Linked DNA regions of Anolis sagrei. The protein of the gene in region 1 interacts with the protein of each later gene in a pairwise test. Links are inferred from orthologs where the notes say so. Each region holds a gene or a part of one and is shown in the gene's direction. Other genes may lie near its edges.

Evidence for each region.
Region 2: the proteins of NMT2 (region 1) and ACBD6 interact in binary tests that used the Homo sapiens proteins (3 or more experiments, as listed by UniProt). The link is inferred for Anolis sagrei from reciprocal best matches to the Homo sapiens genes NMT2 and ACBD6.

Annotation. Positions count from the first base shown.
Region 1 is NC_090026.1:104,884,459-104,891,430, reverse strand, and holds the start of NMT2 (glycylpeptide N-tetradecanoyltransferase 2), read left to right. Parts: upstream 1-3,958; 5' UTR 3,959-3,999; coding exon 4,000-4,109; intron 4,110-6,972.
Region 2 is NC_090024.1:125,161,166-125,169,234, forward strand, and holds the start of ACBD6 (acyl-CoA-binding domain-containing protein 6), read left to right. Parts: upstream 1-5,003; 5' UTR 5,004-5,137; coding exon 5,138-5,395; intron 5,396-8,069. UniProt on the Homo sapiens protein: Binds long-chain acyl-coenzyme A molecules with a strong preference for unsaturated C18:1-CoA, lower affinity for unsaturated C20:4-CoA, and very weak affinity for saturated C16:0-CoA. Does not bind fatty acids. Plays a role in protein N-myristoylation.

The DNA of each region.
Region 1 (6,972 bases):
TGATGTCTGTAGACAGTCCACGTTTTGTAGGCATACAGCAGGGTTGGGAGGACAATAGCTTTATAAAAAAGTTGGAATGAACAGGTACACTGGAAAGAGGTTTAAAGAGGGTACCATGTGAGTCAGTCTCTGAGGTCATTCTACAACCAAGGTACCACCATTAAGAAGACAATTTCCTTAGCAGACATTGACTCTGGGAGGAGAACTTGAGGCAGAAGTTAAGGTTCTTATGAACTTAGAACCTCAAGATGCTTGGGGAGAATAACAATACTTGCTTAGCCATTACATGTCAAGTAACCTGGTATCTTGTAATTTGGAGGCTTAAAAGTTAAAGACCATGAGAGATATCTTGCTCTTTCAATTTAAAGATGATAGGGAAAAGGGTTGCTACTTGCCATTCTCTTCCAGCACCATTAAAAATTTAATCAAGTCTATTTTAATACCTTCCACTACTACTTAATGGCCAGTCATTAAATAATGAGTTATAAAATATTAGGCTATTTTTAGTATGATAGGACCAAAAATAGAACAAATTGGTTGCTGGAGGGGAGAAAGCAATCTTATTAAAACAAGTAAGGTTTAATGGCATGAACTTGCTCCATGGCTGCAATAGCTTGAAGACTGTGTTGTCAAAGGCTTTCATGGACGGACTACATAGAGAAGCCATTGAAATACACAAGCATGTGGACAATTTCAACAAAAAGGAGGAAACCATGAAAATGAGCAAAATCTGGCCACCAGTATTTTAAAAAAAATCAGGACAGTAAGTAAAGATCAACACTTAAATAACAGTAAAAATCTCATTTACAATACAAAATGGATCACATTCCTTGTATGCCTAAATCCAATCGCTATTTCCAACTAGCGTACACCCACTGAATCAAGGGGTAAGCCAACACTGATACGAGTTCCATTGAGATATTATATATGTGTGTGTGTGTGTGCATGCTGTGTCCGCCCTGAGTCCCCTTCGGGGTGAGAAGGGAGGAATATAAATGTTTTAAATAAATAAATAAATGTAATACCTTTCTTATTGGAAAAGAGAATTAGTTATGAGCAGTTCTATGTAGATTGACAAATTATCTAACCTGGGATGTATGGAACTTTGCTATCTTCATGTAGTCTCTGAATACCTTTATGTAGATTTCTCTTACGTAAAGGGAGGAAGATCCACAGAAGTCTCAAGCCTAAACTTTCCTGACTGAAGGACAAGGAGCTTGTGGACCAGGCCTGAACCAACTTGGACCCTCCAGGTGTTTTTGGACTTCAACTCCCACCATTCCTAACAACCTCAGGCCCTTTCCTTTTCCCCCTCAGCCAATTAAGTCCAATTTTTAAAGTAGCTCTCCAGTGTGCTGAATCCAATCTTCAAACCAGCTTGGATAGCATAGGGAAGAGGTAACACCCCTGTGGTGTTTGTTTTTCTGTCTGTGCCCCTGTCAGAATATTTCTCCTTACTTCCTATCCCTGTGCGAATTTGATTTTGGGGAATTTCACATGTGGAAACAAGGATTGGTGATAAAGCTTCAGTGGAGACACCTTTTCCCCATAATAATAACTCTTCCAGGAGTGAATTTCCCTTCCAAAGGATAGATTCCTCTCACTTCCTGTTGTCTCGCCCCAGTTCTTAATTAGGAGTTGTCAGATGATTAAATTGGATGATTGTAACTCAGGGACTGTATAAGCCTAAAGCAAGCATGGGCAAACTTTGGCCCTCTGGGTATTTTGGACTTCAACTCCCACAATTCCTAACAGCCGTAGGTGGCTGTGGAGCCCTATTCTTCCGCAGTGAGGACATCAGTTTCCAGTTGGAAGGCGGTCCCGGTCAGGGTTGCCTTGACATGCCTTCCTCTTGTCATGTTTCTCTCTTTTGCCCTCCATTTGTGCCTCTTCAAATTCTACAGCACTGCTGGTCACAGCTGACCTCCAGCTAGAGCACTCAAGGGCCAGGGCTTCCCGGTTCTCAGTGTCTACACCAATCAGGCCAACGAGTAACCATCACTCATAAAAACACAGCTGAAGAGTCTTAAAATGCCAAAAAAAAAAAAACAAAACCCCAAGAAGATACTACAGCACATGCACAAAACCACACACACACACACATATGCAAAGAGGCATATATACACATGTACACAAATGTATACACACACAAAGCACATATACACAGACCGGGTCCCAACAATGCATGGCACAGGACAGCTATTAGCTTTATAAACAAGCACCTTGGTCTCCCTACGGACAGGGCCGTAGCCAGAAAAAAAATTCGGGGGGGGTTGAAAATTTCAGGGGGGGGGGTTGAAAATTTCGGGGAGGGTTGAAATCTTTTGGCGGGGGGTTGAAACCTGCCTCCTAGCTCACGCTGAAGCCAAGAGCACAGCAGGGGGCAGAGCAACCTGCAATAGCCTGCAGCTCCGCCCCTGTCAACCACCTCCACCAAGTCTGGCCTCCTTAATGAGAGCATTCAACACCCCTCCCCCACCCAACTTGATTGTTTCACTACATTGGCTGTTCTGGAACAGCTGTTCCAGGAGCTCCAGATTTATTTGCTGTGTTTATGTTTGTGTGCAAACCCATGCTTGGGATTTTGCAGCAGGGGGTTTCCTGTTATAATTTGCATTTATAGGGTAAGCCACCTGCCAGTTATAATTAGGATCCCTGGTCCCGCCCCCTTTTTGCCTTTTGGAGGGAAGGGGCCTATTTTCAGTCACACAAGGAAGCCAGTCTATAGGACGCAGATCAGCTAGTCCCGTAGGAAAGGCTTCATTCCTCAAAACCTTCCGGGGAAATGGAAATAGCCATCCGGGGATCATCCAGCGACCATCCAGGGGTCATCCAGTGACCATCCAGTTCCAGGGAAACAGAAGGAAAAGGTCCCAAAGGCTCTGGCTAAGAGCTCACAGCCTCTCAGCCTCACAACACCAGAGGGGAAAACAGCCCTGAAGTTTCCACAGGACATCACTGCAGAACCACAGAATTCCAGCTAAACATCTTCTAGCTTCGTCTGGTAGGTTACTCGGTTTCCAGACGCATTTGGGGATCGGCAGTTTTACCCAGACCAGTGAGGCCTAGGTGATGGACGGCTTGGGAGGGATTATAAAGAGTTCTTCCTTATGAGATAGCACAGTCAAACCAAGTTAGTGCCAGTCTCTTAAAGACTTGAATAGTAAAGCCGTAAAGTTTTGTTTGAAGATTTGTTCCTTAATAAAGACTTTGTTGTACTTTTAAAGACTCTCAAGCCCATTACTTCTGGAAGTCTCTACCAATCTCTCTTCGGGCACCCCGGCTTCCCGCTGGGTTTAAAGTGTGCGTTCTATAGAATAAAGACATTTTGTTCGGACCCAGTGGCGACAGAACATCGGCTATTGCTGCAAGTAATGACAGTGTGAATAAATTGTCAATATTTGCTTGAGATAGTGCTTACAGTTCTGGAGGGACTCTTAATATTTTGCATCTCATAGACTTAGCATAGGGATTAGGTTAACCAGTTAACATTCATGAGTAAACCAGGTTTTTTTTAAAAAATCTGAAACATTTCGGGAGGGGGGGGGGTTGAACCCCTAAAACCACCCCCTCGCTACAGGCCTGCCTACGGATGTCCCGGATGTCCCGGTGCTCAAACACTCTTTGCTTCATTCAGAAAAATGCTGCACTCGCAGAGTTCAAGCGGTGTTGTATTTCAGTGTCAGTGTTGACTTTTGTGGAGAGGTGGCTGCTAAGGTAGCGGAAATGGTCAACATTTTCCAATACTGGCTGTTAGGAACTGTCCAAAATACCTGGGAGGGAGGCCAAAGTTGGTCCATGCCTGCCACAGCAGTTCATGAACCCTGCATACAGCGCAGCATCCTGCAGGGGGCGCTCTTCCGTCGGCGGCGGGCCTGTTTGCCTGCGCTCCCGCTGCCTCTCGCCCGCCCGCCTGCCCGCCTCCCATAGGCTGGTGCTGGGCTCCTCCTCTCGGCGGCGCCTGCCCGCCCGCCCGCCTGGCTCCCCTCCTTCCCCGTGATGGCGGAGGACAGCGAGTCTGCCGCCAGCCAGCAGAGCCTCGAGCTGGACGACCAGGACACCTGCGGCATCGACGGCGACAATGAGGAGGAGACGGAGCACTCCAAGGGGTAGGCCAGGCCGGGCGTGGGAGGAGAGGAGGAGGAGGAGGAGGAGGAAGAGCAGCAGCAGCAGCAGGCAGCACCCACCCAAGCCCCTGCGGCAGCCCTGGTCGAGGAGGAGGAGGTCCCTCGGCCCCCGTCCTCCTTCCCAGGCCACGCTTTTGTGCAGCCTCTTGCAAGACGCCTCCCCTCTTCTCTCTTGGAGGAGGGATGGCCAGCCAAGAGGGAACCCACCCAGGCAGAAAGGCCTCTCTCTCTCTCTTTTTACACCCCCCCCCCCAATCCTGCCTCTTGCTTCTCCCTTCTTGGCTCCCAAATCTGGGGTTTGCCCTTCTTGGACCCATCCTGGGGAGTGGCTTTGCCCCCTTCCCCCTCCCATTCATTAGGCTCCCTTACCAAATTCCCATTAGACTCCCTTGCCCCCCTCCTATTAAGATTATTTACCTGCCCCTCCCATTAGGCTTCCTCCCCCCTACAAATAATATTATTTATCCCCTTCCCATTAGGCTCCCCCCCCCAATTAATTCGATTCCTTTACCCTCCTTCCATTTATTAACCTGCCTATCCCTCTTCCCATTAGGTTTCTTTGCCCCCCTCCCATTAATTAGGATCCCTTGCACCCATCCATTCAGATTATTCCCCCCCCCCAAATTAGGTTCCCTTACCACCTTCCCATTAGGCTCCCTCGCCCCTCCCATTAAGTAGGATCCCTGGCCCCTCTCATTCAGATTATTTACCCCCTTCCCATTAGGCTCCCTTACTACCTTCCCATTAGGCTCCCTTGCCCCACTGCCATTAATTAGGTTTTCCAGCCCCCTCCCATTCAGATTATTTACCCCCACCCCAGTTAGGTTCCCTTCCACCTCAATTAATTAGGTTCTCTTACCCTTCCAGTTAGATTTCCTTACCACCTTCCCAGTAGGCTCCCTTGTCCCCCTCCCATTAAATAGTTTCCAGCCCCCTCCCAATCAGATTATCCCCCCCCCAATTAGGTTCCCTCCCACCTCCCATTAGGCTCCCTTGTCCCCCTCCCATGAAATAGTTTCCAGCCCCCTCCCAGATTATCCCCCCCTCCCCAATTAGTTTCCCTTACTCCCTCCCATTAGGCTTCCTTACCACCTTCCCATTAGGCTCCCATGTCCCCCTCCCATTAATTAGGTACCCCCCTCCCATGTACCCCCCTCCCATTGGGCTTCCTTACCATCTTCCCATTAGGTTCCCTTGCCCCACTGCCATTAATTAGGTTTCCTTACCTCCTCCCATTCAAATTATTTACCCCACTCCCATTGGGCTCCCTTGCCTCACTCCCATTAACTAGCCTCCTTGCCACCTCCCATTAAGATTTATTTATCCCAAGCCCATTAGGCTCCCTTGCCTCCTCCTGTTAATTAGCCTCACTTACCCCTTTCCCATTGAAATTATTTACTCCCATTAAGCTCCCTTAACCCCCTCCCATTAAGATTATTTACCCCACATCCATTAGGTTCCCTTGCCTCCCATTAGGCTCCCTTGCCCCTTTCCCATTAATTAGCCTCCCATTCAGATTATTTACCCCCCTCCCATTAGGCTCCATTGACTCCCATTAACCTCCCTTACCCCCTCCCATTAAGATTATTTTACCCCCCCCCCCCCCACCTTAGACTCCCTTACCTCCTCCCCCATTAGGCTCCCTTGCCCCCCCCCCCCCATTAATTAGGTTCCTCCTTAGGTTCCTGCTAAGCTGTTAGGAATTGTGGGAGTTGAAGTCCAAAACACCTGGAGGGCCAAAGTTTGTCCGTTCCTGGGTTATATGTGTAAGGCGTTTTTGAATCATCAATGAATTTCATGTTTAGACTTGGCTCTGTCTCCAAGATAGCTCTTTATGTTTGTATCTATATACAAATACAGATACTCTGATATCCAAAATACTTTATTTTGAATAAGATATACACAACCTACACATTTTTAACCAGAGTCATGGGACACAAGTTTTGAGTTTTGAGTCTCCTTGTGGAGAGAAAAACCAGGGTGTAAATAAACTTAAGCATAAGAATACATGTTTATGGGTTTACAATTTCCTGCCCTCTCTCCTGTACATACATCCATTAGGAATTCCAATCCATGGTCATGGGAGAATTTGGAGCCAGAGCGTGGGAATTAATACAAATTTAATAATGCAGGATGTAATCTTTTGAGGCAGCGTCTAAGGTAGTGGTTCTCAACCTGTGGGTCCCCCTATGTTTTGGCCTTCAACTCCCAGAAATCCTAACCGCTGGTAAATTGGCTGGGATTTCCGGGAGTTGTAGGCCAAAACACCTGGGGATCCACAGGTTGAGAACCACTGCTCTGAGGACCTCATCACACTAGAGCATGGATCCACTTCATATCCAGTTTCTGCCTCATGCAGAATTCGGGGTCTTGTAGTTTATGAAGAGGCCTTTAAACTGCTCAGCAAGGCAGAACCTAGGCCTCAATAAACTACAAACCCCAAAATTCTGCAGGAGGCAGAAACTGGATTTAAAGTGGATCCATGCTCTAGTGCAGTGGTTCCCAACCTTTTTTTTGACCAGGGACCACTTTGACCATGGACCACTTGGCCAGGGACCACTCTCCAACAGTTGTATTAAAAAGGTTACAAATCCGTTTTCTATCAACTCTAGATTTGGTTTGATTATTTGGGGTGCTGATTCAGAAAATTTCATTGGATAGACCACATCAGCTTTAGTTTCTGATAGAACATATGCCATCCAGTAGTTGCCATCTCCTCACCCACAGAGAACTATATTTAATGATCTAGAGCTCATGTGGTAGTAGTAATCTTTCGTGGAAAATCAGCACCAGAAGAGGGTTTTGCGAGACCAGTTGCTCTTGTTGCCACATGGTTTCAAGGTAA
Region 2 (8,069 bases), on another chromosome or scaffold:
AGTTGGAAGAGACCTCATGGGCCATCCAGTCCAACCCCCTGCCAAGAAGCAGGAATATTGCATTCAAATCACCCCTGACAAATGGCCATCCAGCCTCTGCTTAAAAGCTTCCAAAGAAGGAGCCTCCACCACACTCCGGGGCAGAGAGTTCCACTGCTGAACGGCTCTCACAGTCAGGAAGTTCTTCCTAATGTTCAGATGGAATCTCCTCTCTTGTAGTTTGAAGCCATTGTTCCGCGTCCTAGTCTCCAAGGAAGCAGAAAACAAGCTTGCTCCCTCCTCCCTGTGGCTTCCTCTCACATATTTATACATGGCTATCATATCTCCTCTCAGCCTTCTCTTCTTCAGGCTAAACATGCCCAGTTCCCTAAGCCGCTCCTCATAGGGCTTGTTCTCCAGACCTTTGATCATTTTAGTCGCCCTCCTCTGGACACTTTCCAGCTTGTCAATATCTCTCTTGAATTGTGGTGCCCAGAATTGGACACAATATTCCAGATGTGGTCTAACCAAAGCTACACAAGGAGTGACCATCACTCAAAAAATTATGATTTTGTCATTTGGGAGTTGTAGTTGCTGGGATTTATAGTTCACCTACAATCAAAGAGCATTCTGAACTCCATCAACGATGGAATTGAACCAAACTTGGCACACAGAACTCCCATGACCAACAGAAAATACTGGAAGGGTTTGGTGGGTATTGATCTTGAGTTTTGGAGTTGTAGTTCACCTACATCCAGAGAGCCCTGTGGACTCAAACAATGATGGATCTGGACCAAACTTGGCACAAGCACTCAATACGCCCTAATATGAACACAGATGGAGTTTGGGGAAATAGACCTTGACATTTGGGAGTTTTAGTCACTGGGATTTATAGTTCACCTACAATCAAAGAGCAAGACAGAGGTACTCCTGGTTAGTCGCAAGGCCGAACAGGGTATAGGGTTACAGCCTGTGTTAGACGGGGTCGCACTCCCCCTGAAGACGTAGGTTCGCAGTTTGGGTGTGATCCTGGACTCATCGCTGAGCCTGGAACCCCAGGTTTCGGCGGTGACCAGGGGAGCATTTGCACAGTTAAAACTTGTGCGCCAACTGCGACCGTACCTTGGGAAGTCTGACTTGGCCACGGTAGTCCACGCTCTGGTTACATCCCGTCTTGACTACTGCAACGCTCTCTATGTGGGGTTGCCTTTGAAGACGGCTCGGAAGCTCCAATTAGTCCAACGGGCGGCAGCCATGATACTAACCGGAGCAGGGCGCAGGGAGCATACAACTCCTCTGCTGTACCAGCTCCACTGGCTGCCGATTTGCTACCGGGCCCAATTCAAAGTGCTGGCGCTGGCCTTTAAAGCCCTAAACGGTTCTGGCCCAACTTATCTATCCGAACGTATCTCGGCCTATCAGCCCACCAGGACCCTAAGATCTTCTGGGGAGGCCCTGCTCTCTATCCCGCCTGCTTCACAGGTGCGGCTGGCGGGAACGAGAGACAGGGCCTTTTCTGTGGTGGCCCCTCGGCTTTGGAATGCCCTCCCCATAGAGGTGAGATCAGCCCCTTCGCTGATAGTATTTTGAAAAAGGTTGAAGACATGGATGTTTAAACAAGCATTCGATTAATCTGGTGCAACGAAACTGATTAACAAGGATTGGTTAATCACAGACGACGAAATTGGATTGCGACTACAATTAAGAGATGCATTGGATTATTATTGGTGGCCCAATAATACTGTGTATTGTGTATGTGTTTTTATGCTTTTTAATGGAATATTGCTGCTTGTCGTTGTGTTGTAAACCGCGTTGAGTCGCCGATTTAGGCTGAGAAACGGCGGTATATAAGCGCAGTAATAAATAAATAAATAATTTCTGTCCCCCACGAATGACAGAATTGGGGCAAACTTCCCACACAGAACCCCCATAACCACCAGAAAATACTTAAGGCCATCCACCCAACTCCCTTCATCGGGGCAAGAAAACGTAATCAAGGTCCTCCTGACAAAGAGCCATCCAGCCATAGCTATAGATAGATAGAGAGAGAGAGAGATGATTCACACACACACAGATATAGTATCATAGATTGAAAGGGACCCTTAAAAAGGACAATGATGTGTTGCATGTTCCTGAGTGGGCAAACCAGACACTCTCCACATCAATACTGACAAAGACACAGCAAGAAATACTGTTTACCCACAAGCATAAAGAAATTACATATATTAGAAACCAACACTTTCTCATTTCTTTATTTTCCAGATCAACAGACTGGGCCAGAGCAACGCGTGGCAGGGGATAGCTAGTCTTCTATATAAATAAAAATGTAATGTTCGTTTGTGGGATTAACAGAACTCAGAAACCACTGGACCAATTGACACCAAATTTGGAAAGCATAAACCTAACAACCCGATGTATGTCCTTAACCCCCCCCCCAAAAAAAACCCACAAAAAATAAAGCAGAAAGGACTTCTAAACTGCATATCCACAAAGGAGAAACTGCATGCCCACAAAGAGACCCATGGCCACGCCCCCTCCTCCTGGCGGGGAAGCAGCCGGCTGTTAAAGCCTTAGAATTCAAGTGCGTGTGCATGGCCACACACACAAACACACACACACAAGCGAGAGTGGGCACCATAGGAGTGAGGAAGAAGAGGAGGAGCACGGTGGATAGGCTCCTCAAGTCCCTCCCTAACCAGCAGAAACAGCAGCCTTCTTTTGGCTGCCTTCCACTTTGTCGCCTCCTCTTCCTCCTCATCCCCCAGAGGAAGCAGCAGGCAGGATGGAGGGAGAGAGGAGGGGAGAGAGAGAGACTGTCCCTTCTTCGCCAACTCTTTCTTGCCTCCCTCCCTTCACTATAAGAAGGAGGAAAGAAAGAGGCAGAAACAAGTTTTATTTTTGAATTCTCCTTCTTCTGCGTCCTGCTCCCTTCTTCCTCCTCCAACTCCTTCTTTCTTTCCTCCCTCTTCTTCTCCCCCACATTGCTGTAGATCAGTGTTTCTCAATCTGGGGGTCGGGACCCCTGCGGAGGTGTTCCAGCGAGTGTCTCTGTAGATCAGGGGTCCTCAAACTTTTTAAACAGAGGGCCAGGTCACAGTCCCTCAAACTGTTGGAGGGCCGGATTATAATTTGGAAAACAATGAATGAATTGCTATGCACATTGCACATATCTTATTTGTAGTGCAAAAAACCCCCCACCTTAAAACAATACAATAATTACATTGAAGAACAATTTTAACAAATATAAACTTATTAGTATTTCAATGGGAAGGGTGGACCTGCTTTTGGCTGATAAGATAGGATTGTTGTTGTGTGCTTTCAAGTGATTTCAGACTTAGGTTGACCCTGAGTGAGGGCCAGGTGAATGACCTTGAAGGGACATATCTGGCCCCCGGACCTTAGTTTGAGGACCCCTGCTGTAGATCTTAGAATAGAATCATAGAATCAAAGAGTTGGGAGAGACCTCATGGGCCATCCAGTCCAACCCCCTGCCAAGAAGCAGGAATATTGCATTCAAATCACCCCTGACAGATGGCCATACAAATGTGAGTTTTTGTCCCTAACATGTAGAATCATGGAATCAGAGAGTTGGAAGAGACCTCATGGGCCATCCAGTCCAACCCCCTGCCAAGAAGCAGGAACACTGCATTCAAATCACCCCTGACAGATGGTCATCCAGCCTCTGTTGAAAAGCTTCCAAAGAAGGAGCCCCCACCACAACCCAGGGCAGAGAGTTCCACTGCTGAACGGCTCTCACAGTAAGGAAGTTCTTCCTCATGTTCAGATGGAATCTCCTTTCTTGTAGTTTGAAGCCATTGTTCTGCATCCTCGTCTCCAGGGAAGCAGAAAACAAGCTTGCTCCCTCCTCCCCGTCTCTTCCTCTCACGTATTTATACATGGCTATCATATCTCCTCTTGTAGGGGCAACGAAACCAGAATATTTCCCAAAAGGCAGAAGCCCCCTTTCTAATAGGGAGAGCAAGGATGGACACCACGAAAGTAGAATCCTTTAAACTGCAAAAAAAACTATTTATTATTGCGTGGCCATAACAATAACGACAAACAAGCATACAGGGATGCAATCAAAGGGTTTGTCGCAACCCCCAATGGGGCTGCAGAGCATTTATAGTAAATGGAATATACATTTTCATTGGTTCCCAAAGACAAATCATTTCATTGGTCTAAGTTAGCTATACAGTTGTTCATTAGTTGTTTATGATTTTGATCGACATTATAGCACACGTGGGATCCTAACAATGGCACATCTATAACATAACTATAGTCCATTGTTCTCTGACCATGACTGTATCTTATCTATTAGTCTGTTGCAAACATGGCTTCAGAGCGACTGGGAAACTTGGGGGTTCTAACTAGCCAACAGCTAGCTGGTTTTGTCCGGATATATTGTTATCCTTGAATAGTAACTTCTTCTTTGGAGCACTGATTTCTCAAACAATCAGCATTTTCTGTGAACATAGGCCTACTGCAGAAATAGGCCAATATGGCAGTAAATCATGACATATGGGCATTGGGGAAATATCAGAAAATTCCCTTTTTAAAACCACATCCCCTCCACTCTCAGCCTTCTCTTCTTCAGGCTAAACATGCCCAGCTCCTTAAGCCGCTCCTCATAGGGCTTGTTCTCCAGACCCTTGCTCATTTGAGTCACCCTCCTCTGGACACATTCCAGCTTGTCAATATCTCTCTTGAATTGTGGTGCCCAGAATTGGACACAATATTCCAGGTGTGGTCTTAGAAAACTATTTGTTGATTTAAGTCTTAAATCCAATGGATAGATCAATAAGCAGACACAAGCCTTTTCCTCCACAAAAAAGGGGGCGGGGTTTCCCCACTCTGACCGAAAAGGGTTCCAACGATAAAGGTGCGCGCGGCTCCATAGAAGCAGGAAACAGAACGCGACTCGCTGGCGAAGTGTGTGTGTGGGGAATCTATCACTCTAACTCATTTCTAACTCTATATCCTTTGTGTTGTCTAAATCTCCTTTCCCCTCTCCTAGAGCGGCGCGTGCGCAGTGCCGGGGTCCCACCTGGACCGCTCGGCGAAGGGGACTGGGGGGCGTGGCTTAGCCCTTGGGCGCGAGCCGCCTCTCTCTCTCTCTCTCTCTGAGGCAAAAGAGGGAGGATGGAGTGAGAGTGCCATGGCGTCCCCGTTCCCGGCTGAGGAAGGCGGCCGAGGCGACCAGCTCAGCTCCGGCGACGAGGAGGAAGAGGGCGAGAGAGCGGCGGCAGTGGCGGCGGCGCTGCTGGGGGAGTCTCCGGGCCCCGGCTCCGACTCGGAGAGCCCCTCGCCTCCGGGCCTGGCCGAGCAGTTCGAGCGGGCGGCGGAGCGCGTGCCGGGCCTGGTGGCGGTGGCCAGCAAGGAGCAGCTCCTCGCGCTCTACGCGCGCTACAAGCAGGTGAGGAAGGGGCGCGCGGGCAGGAGGGGAGGCGCCTCTTAAAGGGCCCGCTCCCCCTTCCCTCCCCCCCTCCCCAAAGGGACTCTTCAAGGCCTCTCTGCCAACTTCGCCGCAGGGCGTTCGGCTGCCATTCAGAAGTTTCCTGCAGAGAGTAGAATAACTTTATTGTACACTAGCCATGCCCGGGTGATTTGAAAAGTGATTGTTATTATTATCATCTATATAAATAAAAACGTAATGTTCGTTTGTGGGATTAACAGAACTCAAAAACCAGTGGGCCAATGGACACCAAATTTGGACACAAGACACCTAACAACCCAATGTATGTCCTTTACTCAAAAAAATTGATTTTGTCATTTGGGAGTTTTAGTTTCTGGGATTTATAGTTCACCTACAATCAAAGAGCATTCTAAACTCCACCAACTATGGAATTGAACCAAACCTGGCACATAGGACTCCCGGTGCTTTTTGACCTGTTTGACCGGGTGCTGTTTTCCCCTCTCTTTCATAAGACTAGGAACTGGAACAATGCGTGACCGCATCTCAGTTTATGAACCCACACGCTCCCTTTGTTCATCCGGAGAGGCCCTGCTCGCGATCCCACCTGCGTCACAGCCGCGTTTGGTGGGGACGAGGGACAGGGCCTTCTCTGTGGTTGCCCCCCAACTTTGGAACACCCTCCCCAAAGACATTAAACTAGCACCCACGTTGGCAGTCTTTAGGAAGAACGTGAATACCTGGCTATTCAGATGTACCTTCCCAGAATAGGATAACCGCCCAGCACCATGTCCCAGAAGCACTTTATTAGAGTTAAGACTCTCTGCACATTGCACTTGCCCAGAATTCCAATATACCACCGTCACATCCAGCACTTTTTAACCTGTACCCATCATTGGCCCGGCCTGTTTTTAATGTGTAATAGTGTAATGTTTTTGTCATTGCTTATGTTTTAATTTTTGCTTTGTATTGTATTGTTATTGTTTGCGATTGGTGTGTTGAGGCCTTGGTCTCTGTAAGCCGCATCGAGTCCTTCGGGAGATGCTAGCGGGGTACAAATAAAGTTTAATAATAATAATAATAATAATAATGCAATGAGGCTGAATGATGGAAGATTCGGAAGAGATAAAAATCTCATGGTGGGGAACAAGACTAGGGAACCCTCTGCCACAAGGTGCAGTGATTACTGCCAGTCATAAAAGCAACCTATATTTTCCCATCGTGGTCAACTGTGAATACGCACATATGGTAGACTAGCGAGCTATTAACCCTGGCTTGTGGGCGTCATGCCACCGCAGAGAAAAGGACTGCCCTTCCAAATGAAGCATCCCTCTTAGAGGAGACATCCAATTCGGAGTGGGACATGAAGGTAAGCGGCATGGACCGTGTGGCAGCACGGCAAAGTGTATCCAGCTGCAAGCCCCTAATGAAGGCTGTAGAAGTGGACATCAACTTTGTGGAATGACCCTTCACATTCTGAGGACGGTTTCAACCTGCTCGTTGATACACCAATCAAATAGGCATTGCAAAGACACTGGAAGGCCACTGGCATCCCTCCTGTACTTCACGAACAATCTCGGGGATTTCTGTATCCCCGCAGTCCTGTCATTCTAAATTCCACCAACTATGGTATTGAACCAAACATGGCGCACAGGACTCCCACCACCAACAGAAAACACTAGAAGGGTATGGTGGGCATTGACCTTGAATTTTTGAATTGCAGTTCACCTCCATCCAGAGAACACTGTGGACTCAAACAATGATGGATCTGGACCAAACTTGACAGGAATACTCAATATGCCCAAATGTGAACACAGATGGAGTTTGGGGGAAATAGACCTTGACATTTGGGAGTTGTAGTTACTAGGATGTATAGTTCACCTACAATCAAAGAGCATTCCGAACCCCACCAACAATGGCATTGGGTTAAACATCCCACACAGAACCCCCATGACCAACAGAAAATTCTGTGTTTTTTCGTGGTCTTTGGTGACCCTTCTGACACCCCCCTGGAGACACCCCCCGGGGGGGGGGGGTCTTGACTTCCCAAGTTGAGAAATGGTGCCTTAAGGCCATCCAGTCCAACTCCCTTCACCAATGCAAGAAAACATAATCAAAGCCCTCCTGACAAAGGGCCATCCAGCCATAGATATAGATAGGTATGATTCTCACACACACAGATATAGTATCATAGATCTGAAAAGGAGAAAAACAATTATATGTTACATGTTACAGAATAGGCAAACCAGACAATCTCCACATCAACACTGACAAAGAAACAGCAAGAAATACTGTTTACCCACAAGCATAAAGAAATCACATATATTAGAAACCAACACTTTCTCATTATTTTCCATATCACCAGACCGGGCCACAGCAACGTGTGGCAGAGGACGACTAGTTATTATTATATTTCCACCCCGTTTTATCTCCCCCAAAGGTGACACAAAGCAGGTTAACATAAAAGCATCAGCATGCAATTTAAAATATACAAATATGCAAACATGGAAACAATTAAATATAAGCAGTATTACAAATTCACAGTTAAAATCTATTAAAGCATATTCAAAGTTAAAAACCACAGAAGCAGCTTAACATAAAAACATGAGCATAGAAATTAAAATATACAAATATGCAAACATTAAAACAGAATGAAATATAAACAGTATTACAACAT